Oryzias latipes: one gene and its partner. The protein of the gene in region 1 binds, or shares a complex with, the protein of each later gene. Links are inferred from orthologs where the notes say so. Each region holds a gene or a part of one and is shown on either strand. Other genes may lie near its edges.

What was found.
Region 2: the proteins of dhdds (region 1) and nus1 are in contact, whole or in part, in a crystal structure (PDB 7PAX), measured with the Homo sapiens proteins. The link is inferred for Oryzias latipes from reciprocal best matches to the Homo sapiens genes DHDDS and NUS1. Residues at the interface, in NP_995583.1 of Homo sapiens: Arg37, Arg38, Glu81, Asn82, Lys84, Arg85, Arg159, His160, Ile162, Ser163, Val166, Arg167, Met169, Ala170, Trp171, Val173, Glu174, Pro180, Ser181, Ile183, Ser184, Glu185, Leu188, His199, Glu209, Val210, Arg211, Leu212, Ser213, Asp214; in NP_612468.1 of Homo sapiens: His137, Gln138, Pro193, Glu194, Lys197, Ala198, Ile200, Val201, Ala204, Gln205, Phe207, Cys208, Gln209, Val211, Ala212, Arg217, Pro218, Thr219, Leu221, Asp222, Val223, Leu226, Asp237, Pro246, Val247, Asp248, Ser249, Thr250, Leu251, Gly252.

Annotation. Positions count from the first base shown.
Region 1 is NC_019874.2:24,538,475-24,545,811, reverse strand, and holds the start of dhdds (dehydrodolichyl diphosphate synthase complex subunit DHDDS), read left to right. Parts: upstream 1-2,738; 5' UTR 2,739-2,889; intron 2,890-3,165; 5' UTR 3,166-3,183; coding exon 3,184-3,246; intron 3,247-3,893; coding exon 3,894-4,010; intron 4,011-4,100; coding exon 4,101-4,243; intron 4,244-5,315; coding exon 5,316-5,432; intron 5,433-5,547; coding exon 5,548-5,649; intron 5,650-5,765; coding exon 5,766-5,880; intron 5,881-6,435; coding exon 6,436-6,543; intron 6,544-7,337. Other genes in the region: protein argonaute-1, read right to left, coding at 964-988. UniProt on the Homo sapiens protein: With NUS1, forms the dehydrodolichyl diphosphate synthase (DDS) complex, an essential component of the dolichol monophosphate (Dol-P) biosynthetic machinery.
Region 2 is NC_019882.2:10,566,189-10,570,465, forward strand, and holds the start of nus1 (dehydrodolichyl diphosphate synthase complex subunit NUS1), read left to right. Parts: upstream 1-1,477; 5' UTR 1,478-1,826; coding exon 1,827-2,208; intron 2,209-3,157; coding exon 3,158-3,289; intron 3,290-3,395; coding exon 3,396-3,548; intron 3,549-4,275; coding exon 4,276-4,277. Other genes in the region: psmc6 (26S proteasome regulatory subunit 10B), read right to left, coding at 16-95, 580-664. UniProt on the Homo sapiens protein: With DHDDS, forms the dehydrodolichyl diphosphate synthase (DDS) complex, an essential component of the dolichol monophosphate (Dol-P) biosynthetic machinery.

The DNA of each region.
Region 1 (7,337 bases):
CTATTCCATTCAAAATTTAGACCAGCAGGACAATGTGATTTTAGATCGCCGGTCCTCTTGAATTAAGAAAATAAGAGCTACTCCAAGTGAAAGATAAAGTTAACAAACAAAAAAAGTTTTACAAAAGTGGAGAAAAGTAAAGCATCCAATACTTTTCCCAACTACGAGATAAGTTAAGTAAAACACAACCTTTTTTGTTCAATTCTTGCTTCTACGGCTCAGTGTTCACTAAGAAAACTGCCAATTAAAGATAAATTTGAACGAGAATTATGCAGGACGAGAGGGAGAAAGCCCATTGACATCCAGTTTACTGTAAATACACGAGCTTTTCCAAGTCCACCAGAACAAAACTACCTCCTCCTGCTAACACACACAATCTAATTACTGTTGATTTTAGTTTTCATGTAAATAATTGATCGATCTTTGCAGGTGGTAGGGTTGAGGTTGCATGCTAGGCAAATGGTGTTTAAGACATGCATGATAAAGGGGGGATGCTGTGCTGCGTGGGACCTGCGGGACTCAGCCAGCTGCTGCTGCTGCTGCTGCTGCTGCTGCTGCTGCTGCTGCTGCTGCTGCTGCTGCTGCTGCTGCTGCGGCTGCTTGAAGGCGGGATTCAGCCGCAGATTCACGTCGTTCCCATCATCCTCTCAGAGATTCCCACGACCTATCTGCCCCCGCACATGGCAGACGACACATTGTCACCACCCGGAGTCTCCTCTTAAATATTGTATTTGTTTGTTTTCTGTAATGATGGTGTGGTGCATGTAGATTGCATGAGACTCCTCTCCATGTCCACTCCATCTCAGTTTAATCTTCCCAAAACGTAGCGATGCAGAGACAGAGGCGCTAACATCAACTTACTGCATCCTCTTTCTAGGATGCCTCACTTCCCCAAATGCAATCTGTGTATACAGTCATGACTCAAACATTTGGACTGATTGCAATAATAAGAAAAAGACTTACCAGCGCCAGACGGTCCCGGCTCCATGATCCCATTCACTTAGCCGCAACGGTGCAAGCTAGCTAATCCTGGGTGCTGTGGCCAAACCGCCGGCCCCTTCAGGTTGGAAGTGTTTCAGACTTCCAGCCCCCTCCTGTCGGTGTTGAGTCGTCCCCTTTCTCGGTGTACTCCCGCCCCCTACCTCCCCAGCCGACCCCCCCCCCCCCCAGACCCGCAGAGAGGGGTTGAGGCTAACGCGACAGTAGCAGGCAGTTGCTGCTTTGCCCGTTGACCCTGAATCTGCTACGGCAGCGCTGGAACGCCTTGATTCTGATCGCTATTACTCCGGCGTGATTCCGCCGTGGACGGTGGATTTGCCGATGGTCCACGCAGCTGGGATTTCTTACTTAGTGTGTTCTCCAACTCAACGTTCAAGCAGGGTTCTCCAGCGGAACAAAAAGGGCCAGTACCTCAACCCCCCCAAAAATCTTAAACTTCTTCTTTGTCACCAAAAAAAGTCCAAACAAACTGTTGACAAACTTAATGTCAACCTCTAGTGGTGAAAGGCGGAACTGCACCCCATATTTTGAAGAGACAAAATTGAGGATTCACAGAAAAAGCTTTTTTATCATTCATAAAATCAATCCATACACAAAATGTGAGGGAAACTATTAACTATATTTTTTAGCTTTATGTGAGGGTCAAATGTGTTTCTAAGTCTGAAAAGTTGACAAAATTAAACATTTAGCACATTGAAGCACTCTTTTTCACTTAAGTCTAATGGCATTCAATTGAGTGATTCCCTGACACATTTCAACATCAATCCAAATAAATAAGCAACACATAACAACGTGTTTTATCAATGGCAAAAAGTCCCAAAACATGAACTGTACAAGAATAGAATTTACAATGAAAACCGTGAAACTTAGCAAACCCCTAAGCAGATTTATCAAAAGTGTCAAAGGTTGGGAGTCTGCGACATGCAGGAGAGGCTTGATTTTGCTGAGATGTTTCCAAATGTCAGCCGAAAAATGACATGTGTTGTGTATTAGGATGAGACTGGGTTGTCTGATGGGGAAAAAATAGAATAGAAATTAATTGAATTGAACCTTTTTCCCCACAAGGGGTAAATTACCTTGTTACTCTCGCTATATTAAAAACAGCAGATAGATAATAAAAAACATTAAAATTACCCTTCAAAAATATTGACATCAATAATTATTATCCAGCCTCTATGAGGCTTCGTAGATATATGTGAAATCTCTGTGTGTGTTTTTGTTCATTTATTTTTGTACAGACTTCTCGTATAAGCATGTACTTTTTTTGCTTCTTCAAAATACCTTGAGTTTCATTTATCTCTCCAGACATAAACCCAGATATTTATTTATTACCTATTCAAAGTAGAAAGAAAAAAAACCTTAGCAAAACCAACTTTTATTTTTGCTTTTAGTCTGAAAGTAGACAGCTTAATCATAACATTCGTAATGCATTTCTGTTCTATCTCAGAATAGTTGCACTTCTGTGAATGCGCATTTCTAGTTATTCACTTGTGTTTCTTGACCATTGCTCTCGTTTTGGCGGTTATTTTGCAACCTCTGACATCGCAAAGCGATTGGACAAAGAGTAGGAGAACTCGCTGTTTTAAATAGGCGAAGATACATCGATATACATAGTTTTTATTTGATTCTTTAAAATACATATAATTCGAAACCCGTGTAATTTTCTTGTGTGTTTAGAACAAACAACGGCGCGCAATTAAATGCTCAATGTGCGTGATTTGAAAATCCGAGGATGCACGTGCAACAGGAAGTCGTCATGACGCATTTACGGCACGTAGTTCCTGTGCGGAAGTGGTCGTCATCGTAAAAGCTATGAGTTGGAAGCTGTGAAATATGAGAAAACAACTTGTTCTTCTATGGTCTGAATGAAAAACGCGGCTTCCGTTGAGAGTGAGTTCCTGTTGGAGGATTTTGAGTTGTTTTTTATTTACTTAAATAACCATTTAGCAGTTAATTCATTGCATGATGTGTCGCGAGCCCTGTTGGCAGTTGACGTTGAAACCCACTACTAGTAGTACTAGCTTAGCTGCTGCTTGTGAAATGTAATAGTGAACAGAAATGTGACAAAAATAGAAGGCTTGCAACAGTGGACTAATATTTTTTAACAAACTGGGACGTGTTTTTGGTTTTTAACCACCTGAAAATGCTTTAATGACGGAATTTCAGATCGTCTGAAGGCAGAAAATGTCGTGGATAAGGGAAGGTGAATTAAATCTGCTTGAAAAGATCGCTTCCAATGTCCTTAAGGTAAGACTGCTGTCTTCTGGTGCCATTTTGGGTTTAAACTTTGAGTTCAGGATATTTATTGCTCCATATAATATGAAATTATCTTTGTCATCCTCTATAGTTATTCATATAATAAAGACATAACAAACCTATAAAGAAGCGTTTGTTTGAGTTCTAACTATTATTTTCCCAATTAAGCAATTTGTTTCATATGCACACAGGCAAACAATAACACCATTGTCCTATTATTCAGATTTGCTAATCAGAGTTCAGATCTAAGTTGACTGTCCAACATAGTATTTACTTTATGGCATCGGGCTAAATCCATTTGTTGAAATAATTAGTTTCTTTGTTTTGGCATTAATGAAACTGAGAGACTAAAAAAAGCCTCCTGTATTCAGTTAAACTTCCAGGAATCTTTTGTTTCTGAAAAATCTCGGCAGAATTTGAGACGCCCTCAACTTACTGACTACATTTTTGTTTTAATCACAACCATGCTTTCATCCCTTTGTAAAATCAGATGGACACTAATTTGTTTTTGCAATCCTATGGACATATGACAGTTGTTTAGTTTGTTAACGCTCAAACCTTTTGTGACTTTTACAATCCCATCATCCAGTTGTTGAATTTTGTTGTTGTTGTTGTTCTCTGATCCCGTGTAATGCTAGGCAGGACCCATGCCCAAACATGTGGCCTTTATCATGGATGGAAATCGCCGCTTTGCACGTAAGAAAAACATGGAGCGCCAGGAAGGGCACATGCAGGGCTTTAACAAGCTGGCAGAGGTTCGTTTTTTTTTTAATTCATGTGGGGAAATGCATGCCATTACGGGCCATATATTCACACCACTTAACCCCTTTTGTCTTTCACACCAGACGCTGCGTTGGTGCAAGCAGCTGAGTATCCCAGAAGTGACAGTTTATGCTTTCAGCATTGAGAACTTCAAGCGCACTAAAGAAGAGGTGGACGGACTGCTGGACCTGGCCAGGCAGAAGTTTGAGAGGCTGCTGGAGGAACGGTCAGTTTTATGGACAGATTTCCACTTTGCTGTTTATGGTTCTAGTGACTTTGATTCATCATGTGATTCAGAGCTTCCTCACAGCGCAGCTTAAGAGGAAGCAGATTTGTTTCAGTCACACATGTAATTTCAAGGGGGAAAATTTGAATATTCTTTGGTTTCAACAAGTCACACTTTGTTGTTGGAAACGTGTTTAAGAAAAGGGATTTTTTTTTGAAGCTGTTATTCCTATATTCTCCTCAAAAATTGAGTATGATACTTTACTAATGTTGGAATGATGAAGTAGATCATCAGATGAGAGATCAAAGCCTCAGATTGGAGTGGAGCAGCAGGCTTGTGGCTTGCCGTAGTAGCCTCTATGTCACACCTACAAGCTTTTCCCAACATTCTTTTTGCGTCTGCTACTGATTCAGAACGATTTGAATAAAGAAATACTCTGAAATAAAATTTTAACTTAATTTATTTTATGAAATGTCCTCCATGAGAAAACTGCTTCAAATGTTAAATGTTAAAAAAAAGTAAAGGTATGATTGGGACTTGAATGATATGGTGTGGATGAAAAAAACCCAGTTAAACATAAGACTTTGTATTTCTCAACATAAAGGTGAAAGTTTGTGATTTTTGCTTTAGACTTTAGGTTCGGCCAAGTGGGTACATTATTTTGAAAATCAGTTTCGGCAATGAAGTTGGGAAAGTTTTTCAATTGCAACTCCACAAACAGCCTTTACACGTTTGCTCAGGAACTTTTTTCTCTCTCTGAGGATTTATCTTAATTGTTAGCCTTGATAACAATATTTTCTGTGACAGCTACTCTTAATCTGGATGTCTGCTGTGGAATATCTTCCACTACCAACAGGATTTATAATGCAGGGCACATTGCAAACCAGCCTTCCACATCCCACCAGGCCACAGAATGCTCTGTGGTTGCAAGAATTTATTTGAAGTTTCTGTCAGTAAAATTCACACACAATATTTTGATAATCAAAAATGAAAATATATTTTTTTCCTGGAATTGTCATGATTTGCTTTAAGATCTGTCTCTCCCCTTAAAGGTTTCTGTTTTGTCTTAAAGGGAAAATCTGGAGAAACATGGCGTTTGTATCCGGGTGCTGGGTGACTTGAACATGCTGCCACTTGATCTTCAGCAGCTTATTGCCAAAGCTGTTTTAACAACTAAAACTAATAACAAGTATGTCTTTGTATTTGTGCTTTTATTTTGTAAACTCGATGATTAGTGGCAAAACCCAGCCTCGTTTCATCATTCCATGACGCGTCTGTGACGGCAATGACTTCTTTATTTCTAGATGTTTTCTCAACGTGTGCTTTGCCTACACGTCCAGATATGAAATCACCAACGCCGTCAGGGAGATGGCTTGGGGAGTTGAGCAGGGCCTGATCAAGGCAAGGTGAGCAGTTCACCAGACACTTGTGGGTTAATCTCATCAATACTCCTGTGTTGAATAGCATTGAGACAGATAATCTGGAGACATTGACAAGCCGCTCACGTTTCTGTCGTGCTCAGCGATGTTTCGGAGGCGTTGCTCAGCGAGTGCCTGTACAGCAATAACTCTCCTAATCCTGATCTCCTGATCCGAACCTCAGGAGAGGTGCGCCTCAGTGACTTCCTCCTGTGGCAGGTATGAAGACAGCTCTGCTAATACGCCACTTTGTGTACATTTTTGTAAACACTTCACGATGAAAGATTAAAGACGTGTACAATAGTAGTGGCTAAAGGTGAATTATTATTACTAAACCGCTGCAGTCATTTGTTTTCTTCTCCAGTATTGGGAGTGCCTGTGATCCTATCAGTTAAACTTGTATTTCTGGTTGGGTTTTTCAGTAGTTTTATAACCAGCTAATTAAAAAAAGAAATACTAGCTCAAATAAATACTAATTTAAACTCTTTTAAGATCTGCAAATCAGGGTTTCGCTTCAGTTCTGTCATTATTTTATCCTTTTTTACTGGATGATTATCAAATGCGATACAGTATTTATTCTAACAACAAGCTTTAAATGACGGCAGACGTACATCACTTCCCTCTTTTTTTGTTTATTTTGTTTGTTAGAAAGGCTGCTTCCAGTTACAGGCATATCTTTGAGCTGTTTTCTCAAAAATCAGCTATTTTTGTTGTTTGGCATCCAAATCTTTGTCTTTGGAGAAATGTCAACTGTCAGATGTTGTCCATCCACAGACGTCCCACTCCTGTCTGGTGTTTCAGTCGGTTCTGTGGCCCGAGTACACCTTCTGGAATCTGTGTGAAGCCATTCTGCAGTATCAGTTAAACCACAAATCCATCCAGGTTAGTCCTACTTTACTTTTTTGGGGGGTTCACTGTGTCCTTACTGAGAGAAACTTTAACTATTTACCCATTTAATTAAAAAGAAAAAAAGTCTAGGTTTTTATTTTTATATTCACATATTTTTAAAGCCTGTTCTGCTCTGCAGGCACACCATAAACTAAGAGGGGAAAAACAGTTACTGTTGCTTGAAGTTCAGTTCAGTCCAGTTGTGGCAAAGCCCTTTAGCTACGTTCACACTGCCCTCGGTTTACAGGGAGCTAAACACATTTATGTCCATTTTACGGCTCTATGTACAAAACCATTAAATGTGCGTTGCAACCTGGTTGAACTAAGATCAATCAGGGACTCAGATTTGGTTGTGACATATGGATGGCGTCCCTTTTAACTCACAGAAGATCCAACCGTTTGAAAATTGACCATGCAGGAGAAATGAATATCTGTGGTTTAGGCCCGGCCGGAATTCTATGACACCATGTCTTTTTTTTTTTAAAGGAATAGAGCTGTGAAAGAAAACGGCTGGAACAAGATTCATGAAATATGCGCTGCTTTGACATTTCACATCAAGCCTCTTCCAACCATAGGTGGCGGTCATGCACTAGTAAACAGTAGAAAAAGAACCAGGAGGAGAATCCCTTCCCTGCTTGACCAGTATGATCATCATAGGCTGTACTTGTGTCTAAAAATTCACGTTTAGTGAGTTATTGATCGTGCGTCACATGCCTGATGTGTCCATAGCTTGAGAGTGAAGTTAATGAAGAACAGTTTCAAAGATAATAAATTATTTTGCCATCTCA
Region 2 (4,277 bases), on another chromosome or scaffold:
AGGTTGGGTTCTTACCTGGCCAACACTCTGCAAAGCCTTCAGGTCGTTCTCTGACTTCTCATATTGTTTTGTTTGGTCTCTGAGCTGCTCCCTCACTAACACAAAGGACAGTGTTTTTGTTATCGTTACAATTTTAAAGAATTAAAAAACACAACAGAAATAGACGCTGAAAACCGCTGGTAACCGTGTAGTCAATTTATTAAAGAAGAAATCGGTGTGGTTCTTCTGTGACTCTGCTCTCTGAGCGGTCTCACTGCAGATTTCCATAGCTTGAGTTTTGTATGTTAGCTGCTGGAGCTAGCATAGCACCAAAAAAACGTCCAATTTTGGGTGTAACAATCCCAGATTCAAAGTAGACTATATTAGTAAGACCCACAAGGGTCCCACTTAAATGGGATCCAGTCGCAAACTGGGTTCAAGGTGTGTTTACCCGGCTGAGGCCACAGACTGACATGCTAACTACATGACACAGCAGGAACATCAGAGAGACGCGGCTATCGATTATCGAAATGAAAACGCAAACAGTTCAAGCTAAATTGCTGTCTATTTTTCACCAAACTGATATAGACACGTTCTCACATTCTTTGAGCCGTCCGTCAACCTCCTTATGCTCCAAAAGTTTCTTTCTGTAATCTTGCAAAGCTTTTTCTCTTGTGTCCGCCATGACGCTGCCTGAATGAGGGGGGAGCGATACTTCTTTTATGGATCAGCGGCAACTGCTGGGCGCGCTACTGCCGCCTAGCGGTAAGATGTGTGCAATAACCACGTTCTCTCTTTTTAAAATGGTCAATTTTTCCATTAGGTCAAATAAACATAAGGAAAATCGATGTTTGGTAAAACACATTACTGTTAATAGGCATTTTTATTTAAATGTATTGGGGCAGTGGTTGGCGCTCTTGCCTCATAGCAAGAAGGCCCCCGATTCAAGTCCTGGCTGGGGGACCTGAAGAACCGGAACATCAATGGGGGACCTCTCTGTGTGGAGTTTCCATGTTCGCCACGTGCATGCGTGGGTTTTTTCTGGGGACTCCGGCTTCCTTCTACCGACCAAAAACATGCTTCATAGGTTAATTGGTTAATCTAAAGTGTCCATTGGAGTGAATGTGAGACTGCGTGGGTGTGTGATTCTCTACTTGTGTGACAGAGACTGGCGACCTGTCCAGGGTGTCCCCTGCCTTCGCCCACAAGCGGCCGGGATAGGCTCCAGCAGCTCCATGACCCCGAAAGGGAATAAACGGAAGAAGATGAATTAATGAATGTATTTAATTTAGAATAACGCTTTATTTATCCCACAAATGGAAAGTTGCCTTGTTGAAATAAAGTCAATACATTTTGATTTTATTTAATACATTTATATATTAAATAAGTAGCAGATCTGTGTTAGATATAAATTGAGAATTGCTACTTGAATGTAAAGAAAGTATTCAAGACATAAAGCATGTAAAAATAAGCATTGCCTGCAATACGCACGCTGACCACTGGGGACACTACCCTGAATTGTTGGGCGGGCCTCGTTTCCGTCACTGTGGTATCGACCAATCAGAGAGCTCCGTGTATCACGCAGCACCGCAGGTCAGAGTTCGGAGGTTGACAGGCAGGGTTATGGTGGAGGTGGTGATACATTGGCGGGGCTGAGGTGATTCGAACAGAAACAACCTAACACACAGAACCAGTTGGCCTATCGGAACCAGCCGAGGAGTGGAGCACCGTTTGCTGAAGTGGAACCAGCAGCTGTAGTGAAAGCGGGGAGCTGAGAGTCGCTCCAGTGCGGCGGAGCCACGCAAATCAATCTTCTCCCTGATTTCTCCAGAGTAGGAGCTGCACTCATGGCGCTGCTGTACGGCCTGCTTTGGCGGCTCCTGCTCGCTCTGCTTCGCGTCAAGAGAGCCCTCATGTCGTGGCTTCGAGGCCGCCTGCGGAACCGCGGCGGTAGCTTGTGGGAGCGGATGGCGGCGGCGCTCCTCCTGCCCGCGGCTCTGCCGACGGACTCTCAGAAGAAGCTGGAGCGGAGCCCCGTGAGCGGGAGCCGCGCTGACACTGGCAGCCGCCGCGCGCAGTGGCTGGCGGATGGCAAAGCTCTTGAGAAGTTGCCGGTGCACGTCGGGTTGATGGTAGCCGAGGAGGAGCCCAGCTTTACGGACATCGCAAACCTGGTGGTGTGGTGCATGGCCGTTGGTGTGTCCTACGTCAGCGTCTACGATCATCACGGTAATCTGTCCCCGATCAGTACACCTGCGGATGATGCACTGTCATGGCGCACCCCTTTTAAATTACTTACACACACTTTGGATGAATCAAAAAGTCCAGTCACGTGACCGCCTGTGGTTAACATTAGTTTATCCCCGGTAGAAAATGTAATACACGAAAGTTTAAGTGACATGCATAAGATGTTGGTAGTTTTGAACCGTAAAAGAGTACAAAATGTGTTTTGATCACAAGAATTAAGATGATCTGGGTCTGAGATCTGTTCCTCTGTGATTGGTTCAGATCCGTGATGATCTGACTGTGACATCAGACTCAGATCAGAGCGATCCAGTTTTTTCGGGCGCACACAACAAAAATTCATTATTAAACCAAACTTATTTTAGGTTTCAGCCAAATTTTATATTCACAAGAAAGATGGTCTAACTCCAAAATATAAACATTATTTTCAAACAGTATGCCACAATGAAACAGTTGGTCCTTTTTTAAAACAAAGCTTTATTGATTTATTTTATTTGGCTCTAAATCCTAACTGTTACTAAGGATCTGTTGAGAATCATTGGTTTCCATTATCCTGCAGCACTGGGGTCTACAACCTTCAACAAATCAAGAGCCTTTGGGTTGAAGTCTTACTTGATTTACTTGAAAAAGAAAACACTGATTTACTTTTGTTATTGTTACTATTGTAGAAAATATAAAAACTTATTTTTCTGTCAACCTGTTTTGGTTTGATACATACTTTCCTTCAGCTGTTTCTAAATGGGTTAAATAAAGTTTGACAGTTTGTGTTGCTTCTGAAGTGTTTATCAGTTTAAAAAAGTGCTATTTTTCTTTTTGGGGGGTTCTTCTATATCCAGATCCTAGCCTATGAAGTCAAACTGTTCTCTCGACATGCAGAAAGTCCGATTTTTGTCTCTGACGATACCTGAACTTTTCTCGTCTTTGTGTCCCTCAGGTATCTTCCAGAAAAACAACTCCCATCTGCAGGAGGAGATCATGAGGCAGCAACAGAACCTGCTGGGACTGGACGGGTCCAAATACAACGTGGAGGTTCTGAGTAACGGCGGTGACGAACACCAGCACTGTGGTGAGACCGCCCTGATCTCCTGAATCTCAGTTTTTCTTGACATTTCTTTCTCTGTAAAGATGGCTGAGATGCTCACCGTGTGGGGTGACTGTATCTCGTGTGTCAGTTGTGTCCTGCAGACCCACGGTGAAAGTCTTGTCTCCTGAAGACGGGAAGCACAGCATCGTTCAGGCGGCCAGGAAGCTCTGCCATGCAGTGGAGAACAAGGAGAGGAGCTCCAGAGACATTAATGTGTCCATGCTGGACGTCATGCTTAGAGGTACTCGGTCCTGCTTCAAATTAGAAGATATGATCACGGACGGAATGCGAAGTCGGCTTTGTAGACCCAGAAGGCCTCATTTAGCATGTTGGATGTTAAAGATTGGATGAGATGAGGACATTCTTTGGACAAGTTGAAAAAAATGAATCAGTTTTCCTAAAATAACAAAGAAGCTCAACTATAATTCAAAATAACATCAAAGTCAAAATGACGAATGAAACTTTGTCTTGTAGACATGTGAGATCAGATCAGAGATGAAATGAATCAAACTTCTCATGCTAACTGTAAGGCACGGCGGTGGAGGACTGATAATGCGGGCAAATTTAGCAGCTGTGAAGGGCAATCCGGTAAACCAGACATAGAAAGTAACATAGGTACCAAAGAAAAAGCCTCCTTCTTCTAAACCCTCTATAGTCTTCTTCAGGGTCCCAGGGAGGCTGGAGCCTATCCCAACCTCAAAAGGGTGAGGGCGGGTTCCACCCTGTTCGCCAAACCATTTCAGGACCACACAAAGCCACCAACACTCACATTCGCACCTAAAGGGGAATTTAGGGAAACACAACAGTTTGATCCACTCTCAGAAGTGCAGTGTGAAAGCTAATCCATCTAAATGAAGGTCACTGTTTAATGATCTTGTTGATCTGTTTGCCTTAAGCTCACTTCACTTCAGGTTTTTTTTTATGTCAACCTTGACTGGATGGAGTTGAAAACATGTCTCTTGTTTCAGAA